Linked DNA regions of Caenorhabditis elegans. The protein of the gene in region 1 interacts with the protein of each later gene in a pairwise test. Each region holds a gene or a part of one and is shown in the gene's direction. Other genes may lie near its edges.

Region 1 (7,628 bases):
CTTCCAGTTTGGCTTCTTCATTTTCCCTTAACAATTTAGAATCACATTTTTCTGAGCTTCATCTAATATTTAAATTTGTGCCAAGCGTTCCTACATTGCAAATCAATTGTGTCTTTTTAGGCTCTAGCTTCAAATTTGAGCTCAGGAACAGCTGATCCATAGTTTTTAGTTTGGATCAAAACCTTCAAAACTTGTGTCTTATAAGGCGTAGGTTTGAGGTAGGCAAAAATATAGTTTTCACTTGATTTGGAGAAACTGAAAATTCTCAAAAATGTTCGTCGAATTTTATTCCGACAATTTTCAACTTACCGACAATTTTGGTGCATGTTTTCAATCTGGATTCAGTTGTTTTAAATATTTAAAATACAAGTTAATGTCTGACAAAGCAAATATAGTTATATGTATTTTTTTTTCAATTTTAATGACAAATATTGGGAGAAAATGCCACGCTAGCTCATTTTTTAGAATTTTTGGACACAAAAACATCAAAAAATTTTTGTAGAGACAATGCATATTTTACACGACCACAGCCACAGTACCCGCAAGTATTCTGATATGTATTTTGAACAATTATTCGATATTTTATGTGTTTGCAAAATTTTCCAAAAAATTGAAGCTTCTGAGTTTTAAATAGTGTCAAAAACAGGCAAGACAATTTCGAATCACTTGTAGGTGCGGTAACTGCAAATTTCAAGTTGTTTCGTAATCCGTACCAGGGGTGGGCAGCAAACGATCCGGCAAATCGGCAAACCGGCAAATTGCCGAAATTGGAAATTTCCGGCAAACCGGCAAATTGACGATTTGCAGAATTTGCCAAAAATTTTTTGCCCTTTTTTTTTTGGAAATTTCAGAACTTCAATTTCAGACAGCCGAATTAAGCACATCCTATGAATATTCCTACATTTATTTCAATAAGTAAGCAAATTCTGTTAAAATAACTAGAAAAAACGGGAAAAATTCAAAATGGCACAGTTTTAAGTGTTTACGTCCTGTAAATAATCCCTCTAGACATTTCCGGCAAATCTGATATCCGGCAAACGGCAAATCGGCAATTTGCCGAAAATGAAAATTTCCGGTAAATCGGCAAACCGGCAATTTGCCGATTTGTCGAATTTGTCGACAAATCAATTTGCCGAACCGCAATTGCCGCCCAGCCCTGATTCTATCGCATTTATTTTTGTGTCAAAAAGCAGAAAACTCCGCAACTGGGTAATTTTATATTTTATAGGGCTCCTAAACATCTTAAAGTTCTTTCAACTGGGGTTTTTGTAGGGAGCATCGCAGAATTTTGAAAATACTGGATTTTAAAATCATGTTTCTCCCTGTTCTATTACTTTTAACTGATATACCCCCTGATCCAATGATCTCCAATCAACTGATCGCAATCACATGCCCCCTCCGAACTAGCGGACACATGAATAAAAATCAGCTGTTAAGTCCATGTCGAACCCCTCGTATCTTGTGTAATAGACTGCTCACAATTCTTTTTTGTTCTTATCACCATCACATGAATTGTCATTTCTCGAGACCGGTTCTTCGCTTCTCTGCGTCTCTCGATCTCTCGCCTTATTTTCAGACCGTGTTTTTTACTTTCAAATTTCAGTTCATTTCAACTTCCCCTCTAAGTACATAACCTCTTCAAATATCAAATATTTTGTGTGTCATAGTTATGTTTAATCTTCTCTCATTTTCACTGTTCTCTCATTCTCGTTTATCCGCAACTGACCCTGAAATTTTTGTGCCCGCCGTGTTTTTCACGAATTTCACAGTTTTCAGGGGTATTGGCTGACCGCGACACATTCATCCCGTTTTTCAGATTTTTTACATATTTAATCAAGTCAGGGAAGGCGCACGATGAGCAAGGTGAAAGGGTGAGATTTTTGACGATACTTTTAGAATTTTCGAGGCTAAAATACAAATTTCCGGCAAATCGGCAAACCGGCGAATTGCTGAATTTGCCGAATTTGCCGGAAAAACGGCTTTGAAAGCTTTTTGGAAATTTTAGAATTTAAATTTTAATCGGCAAAATACTACGACTATTTTAAAAAGTAAGCAAATTCTATGAAAATATCTAAAGAAAATCGCGGAAATAATAAACATTTCTGCCGGAAATGAAAAATTCCGGCAAATCGGCAATTGTCGAAAATTTCCGGCAAATTGTGGTTTTGCACGGTTTTTTTGTTGGAAATTTCGGAATTTCAATTTTAATAGACAAAATTGCACGCATCAAAAAATCAAGGTTTTAAGTGTTTTCGTCTTATAAAAAAATCCCTTTAAACATTTTCGGCAAATCTGATATCCGGCAAGCGACAAACCGGCAAATTACCGGAATTGAAAATCTCCGTCAAAAAAAATGTGCCGACAAAAAAATTGCCGAACGGCAATTGGCCGCCTCTGTACATATATATCGACTAATTATTAAAGAAATATGAAAACATAAGAAATAGATGAAGAATTTGTCTAGTTAATAGGTAGGGAAGTAGGCACGTAGGTTTTTTGTGCCTACATGCCTATATGCATAGTGCATAGGGACAGAAAATCTGAAGTTCTAAAAAAATGCTTAAAAACTTGATTAAAAAGTGTATGATTTTGTGCCTACACAGAAAATTTGACTTTGTTTTTTTTTGTTTAATTCCAAACGCGTAAAGCTTTCAAAAATATTTGTTCTGAATATTATCCTTGCTGAAAACACTTTAAAATATATATTAAAGCTTCCTTAAAAGTTTAGTTGAAACCTCCATTTATTAAAAAAAAGTTTTAAAAAAGTTCATAACTTATTCAGTTGGTGTTCCATTGTGACATGGCTATATATTCTTGTCAAGAATATGTATATCTAATTAATAATTTTATTACCACAAAAAATTCCCTTCAAAAGTGTAAGCTGGAGCAATTTGAAAATGTGCAATTTTTAGAAATTTTTAATTTTAAAAGTCAAAGCAAAATTTTAAATAAAATTTTCATAATTGATATTAAATCAGTTTTTGTGCAATTTGTTAAAAGGTTTAATTGAAATTATTGATGCACTATATTTTACGTGTCACATTTTTTACAGCTAAAGCTGTAATTTTGAAAAAGCTTGATAAGTCTAACTAGTGAGATTAAGTGCACTATTTGTGAACAGAAGAGATAAATAAATATCCTGTTCGTTATCACTCGAACGGTTTTATCAGCCGAGATATAGTGGACAGAACAGTGACAACGCCAAAAACTGGCAATAATGATACTTCCTCCCCTCCCCATCCCAACTTTTTTGGATTATTTCATACCCACAACTTATTTATTTTCCAGAGATCTCGAAAAGTCTGACAAGCGTCCACCATCGTCCATGTCAACTGGTTCAGCTGACAGTGGTGTATTCTCATCGGGAGTTCATGCTTCATCACCTAGTCATAGTCAAGGATCATCATCGCAGAGTGGGCCACCGAGTCCTACTACTCAGTTGAACTCGTTGCTTTTTGAAACTGCTAACCTGATTGCGGTGAATGAGCAATTGAGAAAGGAAATTGCAGAGTTAGTTTTATTTTGTTGCTTGGCTCCAGTTTCTTGCGCAAGTTTTGCCCGAAAAAATTAACTTGGAATTTCGGCAATTGCCGGTTTTGGAAATTTTCGGCATTTGGCAATTCTGTGCAATTGCCGGTTTTAGAAATTATCGGCAATATTGGCAATTTCTGCATTTGCCAGTTTTAGAAATTCTCGGCAATCGGAAACTGCAGGTTTTGGATATTTTCGGCAATTGGCAATTTTGACAATAGCCGGTTCAAAAATTACATTACTTTGAGCTTGAAAAAAAAAAAGTTCATTAAAGTGCATGTTTAAGGTCCGGCAGTTCTGATTTCCGAAAACCGGCAATTCTGACGATTGCCGGTTTCGGGAGTTTTCTGCAATCGGCAAATTTGGCAGTTGCCGAAATTGCCGAAAGCAGAATTGGGCCAAATTTCGGTTAAACTTTGGGCCTAAATGTCTTGCCCAACTGTTGCCCAAGTTAACTTTTTTGTGCCAAATTTGGGCAAGAAGCTATGTTTGAAACCTAAACACCAAACACTGTTTTTCAGAAACAAGCAAATCCAGACGAACCAGATGCGAGCACTCAGATACTCCTCAAATCCAGTCGATCAGCCATTTGTAGCGAATTCGATATCACCACATCACGGGTTTCCACAGTGAGTTTTAATTATTCAAATTGTTAAACCAAAAGAAATTCAAAATCTTTTTGATTTGGAAAAAATGTGAAAAAACCAAATCAAAAACCATTGAAAAAATTCAAAGATAACGTACCAAGTTTCAACGCATGTATCTAAACTATTTTTTGTGATATCAAAAAGTTTTTAACTGCACTAATGTAGCTGATAATGTGATAAATATTTTTGTAGTTGAAAATGCTTTCATAGCGCTTAAAATAACTAAGATGTAAGGTGTCAAAGTAGTGGAAAATTTCCACAAAAAAAAACCATTTTTAGAGTTTCTCCTAATAATTACATTTTCCAGACGCCCCCCTCGCGGCGAACGGCGGATGCAAAAGCCCGAATCTTACAAGACGGTCATTTGTCAGGCATGGCTCGAGTCGAAAACATGCACTTTTGCTGAAAATTGCCGATTTGCACATGGAGAGGAAGAGCTGCGCCCGGCGAAGTGAGTTTTCAAAATTTTTGCGCATAACTTTTGGCGCAGGGGTGGACAATTTGCCGATTTGCCGGAAATTTCAATTCCGGCAATTTGCCGATTTTCGGAAAAATTCAATTCCGGAATTTTATCGATTTGCCGGAATTTCTATTCCGGCAATTTGCCGATTTGCCGGAAATTTCAATTCCGGCAGTTTACCGATTTGCCGGAAATTTCAACTCCTGCAATTTGCCGCTTTGCCTGAAATTTGACGCGCAAAAACCCTGAATATTTTCAGACTGGAATCACGACAAAACAACAAGTACAAGACGAAACTTTGTGACAAGTACACTACCACTGGACTATGCCCCTATGGCAAACGGTGTCTTTTTATTCATCCCGATAATCAGCCAAATGCATATATCAGAGCTGATAAGCTTTATGAGGTTAGTGATGGAGAGGTGGCCTAGAAAATTCAAGTCGGCTATCTTTTGAAACTAAAATGTATTATCTAGACTAGAAATTTTGGATTTTTTGCCCAAAATTGCGGTACCCGGTCTCGACACGACAATTTTTACTAGATTTTGAAACTACACTATTCTTTAAAGGCGCACACCTTATTGTATATTTGCTTCACCAACAAAAATATTTCGCGTCGAGACCAAGTACCGTACCTATGCCGCAAAAATCGCAAATTCCTGTAATTATTCAAAAACTCCAATTTTCAGGTCTCGCAGCGCCACGCACTCGCAGATTTACGGGATCACGTGGAATCACAGATTATGACAGGAAATACGAGAAACTCGTATAATCAACAGCCGCCACCGATGGGCGGTCTAGAAATGCAATCTTCACCGATGAAATCGAGTTCTGACTCCAGTCATATGCGTTCTCCAATGGCTCAGATGAATTGTGAAAGTGAGTTTTTTAAAATAATTTTTTAGAAAAAAAACAAGTTTCAATAAATTCCTTGAAATTTTTTTTTCAGCCACGCGTCCTCACCCTAGCTGGCCGTTGGAATCTTCGTCCTTTTTCTTGCCACCCGAAATGTCTTCAATCAATAATAATAATTTGATGAGCCCATTTGAGACGCCATTTCCCAACGGCTCCACGGGAATTCAACCACATTTTGTGACAGGTTAGATTTATGGGATATTACGGGAACACAAAATTCTGAGAATGCGTATTGCGCAACATATTTGACGCGCAAAGTATCTCGTAGCGAAAACTACAGTAATTCTCTAAATGACTACTGCAGCGCTTGTGTCGATTTACAGGGCACAGTCTCCTCCAGTGGAAATTTTGGTTTGTTGGCGCACTTCTCGTGCATCGCGTGCAAAATTGAGAAATTTCCGAAAACGTTCAATTTACTGTTTTTCTTCATATTTTTCATAACATAAGCTTTGGTGGAAGATTACTTTTCAAATGAACATCAAATTCCACTAGAAAAATGATGAAAAATATACGAAATATGAGAAAAACTCAATTTTTAGCGGTTTTTTCTTTTTATATCAGCGCTTTTATTTTTGAACCAAAATCAAAAATCTTTTTTTTTCCACCTTGCCCTTAATTAGCTTTACAATTGATACGTAATTAAAAAGTTTGAAATCGATTTTAAACCCGTGAAAACTGAAGGAAATCACTTTTCAACGGTAAAATTTTCCCACGCTCACGAGAAACGCGCAAGCCCCCTTGTTGGGTCATTTCCAGGAGGCTGTGCAGGGCTCTAGATTTTTGAAAAGAAATTCATTTCGAAAATCGAGCGCTACAGTAGTCATTTAAAGGATTACTGTAGTTTTCGCTGCGAGATATTTTGCGCGTCAAATATGTTGTGCAATACGCATTCTCCGAATTCTGTGTTCCCGTAATAAATTATTCCCCCATTTTTGTGTGAAATTTGTAATTTTTCTTGAAAAAACTTGTGAGCTTGAATTTCTCAAACTTGCGCGTCAAATACGAGGTACTAGGTGCAGTGAACCACAGAATCCGAATACTGTGCAAACACCGACACAAAGCGTCATATTTCACTCGCAAATTTGAAAGATCAATAATGGTTTTTTTTTTCGTGGAAAAAACACAAATTTCAATTTAAAATTAAAAAATTCCGAATTTTCAGCAAAACGGAGAGCAGCCTTTCCTCCAGTGCCTTCCAATTTCCAACAAGACGATGATAATATGTCATCAATTCCAGGATTCGACCATCTTGCAGAGGATATGGCTAAACATCTTGAATTGTGGTGACATTTTTCAGTTTTTTTTTAATTTGAAATTTGTTTGTCTTCCTTGTCTGTGAGTATTGTTCAACGATTAGTTACTAATAATATTTGAGTAGCAAGTGGTCCTAAATCCTTTTTTTTAAAGATTTTTAAATTTATAATAAAAATGGGACCACCTGATACACATCTCACTAATATTTTTTTCGCTTCTTTTTTTGAAAATTTTTTATCTCCTAATATTAATTATTTTTATTGCTCCCCCTAAATAAAGTTTTAATTTTATTTCACACAAGGGATAATACACGTTGCAAAAAGCGCAAAATCCTAAGCTTCTTTCTCTAAAAATTTTGGATGAGGTTGGTTCTTTTCTTTTTTTTTGGGAGGGAGAAACGGAATAAAACCGGAATATGGAGCAAAAAAGAGACGGGAAAAACGAAATTGATGCATACTGACTACGAAAATCAAAAAGAAAAGGCATCTAGAAAGTCGTGTGAACAATTCTGAAACAGGCAAATGTACAATTGAACGGGGACTTTTTGCAAAAAAAAAATTTGAAGGAATAAGTGAGTATTTTCGATCGAGATGCTCCGCACAGCTGCTCACTTTCCGATCCGTTGGCGGACCTTGTTGTACTTGTCCGTGAGCCGGTCCACTCCTGACGCGAATCGTCGATAGCCATTTTGCATGTGAGCAGCAATCGCCAAGACTACGTAATAGGTCTGTTGAGTCAACTTCACTCCGTAGAGAATCACGTCTTTTGTCACGTTGTAGAGCAGAACCTGAATAAAAACTGTTTTGTTTTTGAATTCAAAA
Region 2 (6,483 bases), on another chromosome or scaffold:
TTAAGATCTAAGGCTTACTATAGGCTTCGGATTAAGCTTTGAGTCAAGAATTCGAAGAATTATAAACAAATAAATTAATTATTTTCAGCGACGAACGAATCCGACGCTTCACATTCACGCAAACCCAGCTCGACTCGTTGCATACAGTCTTCCAACAACAAGATCGTCCGAATCGCGAAATGCAACAGGCTCTGAGTGCGACATTGAAGCTCAACCGTTCCACCGTCGGCAATTTCTTTATGAACGCCCGCCGTCGTCTTCCAAAAGCTGCACCGGTCAGTCAAAACCTTGTCGCCGAACACGCCATTGATCACAATCAACCGGGACCCAGCCACCATTATTAAAAGCGCTAGCAATAGATGTAGTCTGCCAAACCATCACTCAATACGGTGTACGCTATTTTATGGGTGATTTTTAGTTTTTGCGTGTCATTTTTCAAGCTCACAGTCTCACAGGTCCCCCATTCACCGCTTAAATTTGTTCGTGTTTTAGCATGAACGTGTGTTTGAATTGTGTACAATGTACAGTAATTTCCTAATTTCAATAATTTTATAAGTTTAATATTAACAAAAAATCCAAAAACCTCCAAAAAAATTGAAAAATTCCAAAAATCCCAAAAAAAAAATTGACTACTATCGTTCTGTTTAATATAAAATCCTTGATTGTTTTAATTGTTAATTGTATTAATTCCCCATCCAATTCCCATACCTCTTCATTGCCTTATCAATTTTGTGACCGATCCCAATCCAGCCATAACATTTCAGCCATAACACATTTTTCAGATGCTCAGTTCAAAATATTTCACATTGTCACTTTCTCTTTAGCGTTGATTGTTATGATTATTGGTGTTTTCTTATATAAAAATCACCCCGCTGGAATTTTGCTGCACATTTTGGGCACTTTTGGCCACTTTTGCATACCATTGATTTTTGGGGGTTAGCCGACGAGAGACGCAGAGGTATTCACACATGTGGTGGCCTAAGATCTCATTGGTCTCTTGTTAGGCCATTCTGAAAGGCCGGTATTTTGGGGTATATTTTAGGATTTATCTGCTATTCAGGTAGTACAATTTTGAATTTGGAACGGAATTAATCAACCAGAGAAGACTTGCAATGAGTTTTTCCGGATTTTTTCTTCACTACTCCAAAGACACTGGTTTCAAGTTCAAATCTTGCACTTTTATGGTCAAAGGGATTAGCTGGAGAGTCTTTTGGTGGAATTCCAAGCGGTAAGTATTTTAGGAACATTTGAGCTCAACAATGGAGCGAGACTTAGGTAATCCAATTTTTTATTTTTCAGATACCGGCCAGCACATCACGCAACGGATCCGAAAAAAGTTGGCAGCAATCACACCCATCAGAAGCTGAACATCTCCTGTTGAGAGCAACACCTAATCGTTAGGAACCTACGACAAAAGGATCGGAGTCTTGTTCAGAGCACTCTTGCCGAAAACTGGCCGGCGCCTGATTTCACGAGATGCGATGTTGCCGTTGCTGTTCGGAAAAGTATCATGGTTGGCAGAACTTCCAGCACGTACCTCAACACAATACGGATACCATCAGGCAGCTAGCGTGGATCTTCAGTTATTATTTTTTCTGAGCGGTGAGTATATGTAGGTTAAGAATTCCTTTTCAATTTCTTGGTTTTCAGATCACACTTGGCTATACCAATGCCATGGTCTTTGTAGTCTTGGATCTCTTGGATCGTGGAAAGCCGACAGTTTGCTCCGTGGCGACGCTGAATCTGATAGAATCCACAGACGACTTGAGGAATGTGAGGAATCTACAAGAGAGCTCACACACCAATGAGACGATTGGATTTCCAAAACATGCTTGTCCCCATTTTTTCCACCAGTTTTCTAAATCCCTCTTGAATCATAAAAGAATATAAAAAATTTGCAAACCCAACTAATCATTATCTTCAAACTTTTTTTTCTTCAACTAGTGTTATTAAGCACGGCTTTTTTATCTTGTATATATTTTGCATTGTATTTTTACCATAATATTTTTTAGATGTCTCAGCAATTTCAAGCTTCATCAGGAACCGGGTCTGCCAGCCTACGCGAGTTCAAAGTGAGTTATTGAAATTTGAAGCGCAGAAATTGCTTTGAATGTTTTTAAGAAGGCTTCTCCTTTTCTAGAACCTGAGTTTTTGAAACTTGCCCAATTCCAAGTTCCATTTTGGAGCACGTTATGATTTTCAGACCGAACACGAAGATCTACGCGAAGATCTGCCGTACAGTACTCTGCGAACGTTGTTCGGCATCACTCTGGACAAGGACGCATCACAAGCCCTCAACATTGCGTTGCTCTTGTACGGCCACAACTACCCACAACAAGTGGTGCCGCCGGAAAGGAATTATGCGGAGCTTGATGCTCAACTAGAGTCGGTTGTCTTAGAAGATCACACTGCGGAGTCGACAATGGAGCCGGGAGTTTCTGCAACTGTTACTGAGCAACTCGAAGAGAAAAGCGACAAAAGTTCTGATGGAGATGGGACCAGCAAGAGGCTGACAAGAAGCTTGAAGTCTGTGGAAAATGAGACTGAAGAAGATCACGAAGAGAAAGAAGACGAGGCTCCACAGTCGTCACGAAGGGAGTCTACAAGACTGAAGCGTGAGTCGGAACAGTTTTTTGCAGTTGTAGTAGTATTAGTAGTTTCCTAGAACAAAACCTAAAATGACAAATACAAATACAGGGAGCATCTTTCATGTTTAATTCTAAATTTCAGGGAAGCTTCTCGAGTCCCAAAAGACTGTGCAAACCACCGGCAATTCTTCTCGCGCCTCTTCAAAATCCCAGGAAAAGGAAGTTCCTGGAACAAAAAGGTGAGTAGCTTTCGACGCAATACTTTAAAAACAGTAAAGGAGCAACATCTTTGATATGAATTTCTAGCTTTGAAACCTTGACGTAAGCAAAAATCTGAGAAGCTGCACAGAAAGCTTAAAACGACCAAATAAAGCCCAGCCAGGACTAGATGGGAGCGGGCTCCAACTCTGGAACATGCTCAATAATTTTTTTCAGTCAGTGCGCTCCAAAAATCAGAACCACTCCGGAACAGAGCAAGGCTGCAACCAAGCGACAATCGTCGACGACTGTCAGAGCTTCTTCAACTTGCGGCTCGTCGGTGTCGTCGACCTCTACAGTATCGTCTCCGGACTACACGGCTAAAAAGGGAAGAGCCACAGTGAGTTGCGAATTTGTTTGCAACAAGTCTGACATTTTCTAATATTTAGGAAACACCAAAGCTCGAGGAGTTGGCGCCCAAGAAGCAGAGCTCAGCAACTCCAAAACCAGGTGGTGAAGTCTGTGTCTGGGATGGAGTTCAAATCGGAGACCTCTCTGCTCAAATGAACGCGCAAATTGGCGATGACGAAGAGCTCGACACTGTCGACATTGCTCGACGTATTTTGAGCGAGCTCAAAGAGCGCTGCATTCCACAGACTGCACTTGCCGAGAAAATTCTTGCCAGAAGTCAAGGAACACTGTCGGATTTGCTTCGAATGCCAAAGCCGTGGAGTGTCATGAAGAATGGTCGTGCCACGTTTCAGCGTATGTCAAACTGGCTTGGTTTGGATCCAGACGTTCGCCGTGCGTTGTGCTTTTTGCCGAAAGAAGATGTTGCGCGAATTACCGGGTTGGATGAGCCAACTCCAGCAAAGCGTAAAAAAACGTGAGTTTTCTTTTCTTCCTAATTGGCTCGTGAATTGACAACACGTTTTGCTCATAAAAAAAACTATTGAACAGATTTTAAATGCCTTGCAACTTTTCCTTGGCGCTAAGGAACAGCTTCCTAAAAAATGAATCAGACCAGAAATAGTAGTAGCAGCGAAGTAGGTAAGCCCAAGTGCTTAAGCCTAAGCTCCGGATTTTAGGGGCTAATCCTGAGGGCCTTCGCCTGAGGGCCTACGCCTGAGGGCTTAAGCCTGAGGGCCAACGCCTGAGGGCCTAAGCCTGATGGCCTAAGCTTGTGGGCCTAGGCCGTGGGCCTAAGCCTGAGGGCCTACGCCTGAGGGCCTACGCTTGAGGGCCTAAGCCTGAGGGCCTACGCTTGAGGGCCTACGCTTGAGGGCCTAATCCTGTTGGCCTACGCCTGAGCCTGAGTGTTCGAGTCTAAAAGTCTTAGCCTAATGGCTTAAGCTTAAGTGCATGGGCCTGAAATTTTAAGCGCAAGTCCTAAACTTTTTAGGCCGAATCCTGAAGCTTTATCCCCCTAATCCGGAGAGCCTGTAAATCCTTGTTCACTGGCTTTTTTTTATGCTCAAATGGCAGTTCTGAAATTTTAAAGAATTGAGCAAAATATGTTGTCAATTTACCAGTCTCTCTTGGCTCAAATGTTTCCACTTTACAATCCACTTTACCAACCGTTTTTTTTTTCAGCGTAAAAGTCATTCGCCTCACGTTCACGGAGACCCAGCTCAAGTCCCTTCAGAAATCCTTTCAACAAAATCATCGTCCAACTCGTGAAATGCGTCAAAAGTTGAGTGCTACCTTGGAGCTCGACTTCTCCACAGTCGGCAACTTTTTCATGAACTCGCGCCGTCGTCTTCGCATTGACCAGCAAATCAGTCGCTCGTCTCGCTCGACAGGAAACGGAGCCGACACCGAGGATGAGCTCGACGAGGAAGACGTTGTCGTTGAGAATGTCATCGCCGACGCGACCGACGCGAGCAACCAACCAGGACCCAGCCACCTGTAGGTGTTCTTGATGCCTCTTTTCAAGCTGAAATTTTTAACGTGTGTTACGCCGTCATGGGGATTTTATGTTGTTGTGTGTCATTTTTGAAGTTCTCTCACAGGTTTTACCCCTTTTCTACTATCCATCTCTTTGCGTTATTCTGAAATTTTGTTGAGCACAGTATAGATTAGTTATACTCCTAATATCAATAATCTCAATAATCCAAAAAGCTAAAAATTGATCTACTCTCTTGTTGTCTTTTCTCTTTTTATTGTCTTATCACGTTTTTGACCGTTCCAGCTCAAGCATTCCAGCTCAAGCATTCCATCCAACCATTTCCAGATTCTCAACCTAGCCCATATCAAATTATTACACTCTTCCTCCCCAATGCTCACTGTTATGATTTTTGCCGTGATCTGATAAAAAACATTGCTCCGCTGGTATTATCTCACAAAATGTAGGCACCTTTTGCATTTCATAGATTTTTGGAGGTGACGGCAAGAGACGCAGAGGAAATGCACTTTGTGATACTCGCTGCCACACATTTGCACACCGGTGGTTATCCTCTCACCTCTGGCCTAAAATTATTTAGGATTTTTAGAATATTCTCTTGAACTTTGAGATTTTTTCGGGACCACTTTTTGGCAACCGAGCATTTGCAAAAAATTGTTGATTGGAGCTCAATGCAGCATCAAATATGGCTCCTGTACTCTCGCAATGGTTTTTTCCAATGCTTCGTGTTTTTTTTCCGAAGGCACTGACTTCAAAATTCGAGTCAAAACGACCCGTTTCGTTGGAGCTCTTTTTGGAAGTCAAAATTCCGTTAGGTAAGTGTTTCTTCGAATTTTATCAATAGTTGAGCTTGTGAGCTCTACAACCTTTTTTACAATCAATTTTTTGACTGGTGGGTGTTCAAAATCATTTTCATCTAGGTCTTGTGAACTCCACATTCAATGAAAAATGTGCTCAGAAAGTCAAATATTTAATTTTTTCGTTTTTAGGATACGGCTTCTGATGTGATGTCATCAAGGCGTCATTGGAATGAGTTAAATTGGCGATAAGTTCAACACAACCAAAATGTACGTGTACCGCGGCTGGAACAGAATCCAGAAATCACCAAGCTTATCGGAACAATAATTGGAAGACATACTTGGTGGAATGCCACCGTTAGAGTCGAGGCGTTGGAGCAGCCATAAATAGATAATCTCAATAATTTTGGTGCTCCCCCAATTCTGATTCCCAATTTATCTATTCAACTCCTCCAAATTAATAAATATTTGAAAACACTTGTAACAATTGGGTTTTTTTTCTTTTTTTCGAACAGTGTTCTTAAGCACGGCGTCCTTATCTTTATATTTTATCTATTTGTATTTTATTTCCATTATCATAATTTCAGATGTCCCAGCATTTTGTTTCAGGACCAACCTCTTGCGATCCTGAAGTGAGTCATTTTATCATTATTTTCTGGAAAGTTCTTGCAAGATTTCGTGTAAATTAATATTGTCAAAATGTTTTCTTTTCTAATTTTTTCATCTTAACAAAAATATCCTGAATCAAAAAAACAATGTGAGCTCTAACAAGCATCAGAATTGTGATTATATAAAGTATGTGCTTAATGAGAAAACTCTAACCTTTCTCCAAAGCAATGTGAATGTTATAAACTTCACATTTTCAGAAAAAAGTTGACTTGCCATTTGGCTCGCAGAAAACAATGAGTGGCATCATTCTTCGGGCCGACGTCTCACAGGCCCATAACATTGCACTGCTTATATATGGCCCGGACTATCTGCCTCAAATGGCTCTTAA

What was found. Proteins that work in one complex are often made in the same cells at the same time.
Region 2: the proteins of moe-3 (region 1) and ceh-21 interact in a two-hybrid assay, tested with the Caenorhabditis elegans proteins (one large-scale study listed by BioGRID).

Annotation. Positions count from the first base shown.
Region 1 is NC_003280.10:13,159,882-13,167,509, reverse strand, and holds moe-3 (CCCH-type zinc finger protein moe-3), read left to right. Parts: upstream 1-1,776; 5' UTR 1,777-1,854; coding exon 1,855-1,871; intron 1,872-3,288; coding exon 3,289-3,510; intron 3,511-4,052; coding exon 4,053-4,160; intron 4,161-4,485; coding exon 4,486-4,629; intron 4,630-4,897; coding exon 4,898-5,045; intron 5,046-5,327; coding exon 5,328-5,517; intron 5,518-5,587; coding exon 5,588-5,737; intron 5,738-6,715; coding exon 6,716-6,840; 3' UTR 6,841-7,095; downstream 7,096-7,628. Other genes in the region: F32A11.1 (Mitochondrial import inner membrane translocase subunit Tim21), read right to left, coding at 7,415-7,594. UniProt on the Caenorhabditis elegans protein: Zinc-finger protein that may play a role in oocyte maturation and fertility.
Region 2 is NC_003284.9:1,848,266-1,854,748, reverse strand, and holds ceh-21 (Homeobox protein ceh-21), read left to right. Parts: upstream 1-2,012; coding exon 2,013-2,072; intron 2,073-2,203; coding exon 2,204-2,615; intron 2,616-2,730; coding exon 2,731-2,827; intron 2,828-3,023; coding exon 3,024-3,186; intron 3,187-3,235; coding exon 3,236-3,672; intron 3,673-4,379; coding exon 4,380-4,698; 3' UTR 4,699-5,504; intron 5,505-5,678; 3' UTR 5,679-5,970; downstream 5,971-6,483. Other genes in the region: Homeobox protein ceh-39, read left to right, coding at 89-344; T26C11.9 (uncharacterized protein), read left to right, coding at 1,482-1,602, 1,651-1,808; ceh-41 (Homeobox domain-containing protein), read left to right, coding at 6,074-6,118, 6,353-6,483. UniProt on the Caenorhabditis elegans protein: Probable DNA-binding regulatory protein involved in cell-fate specification.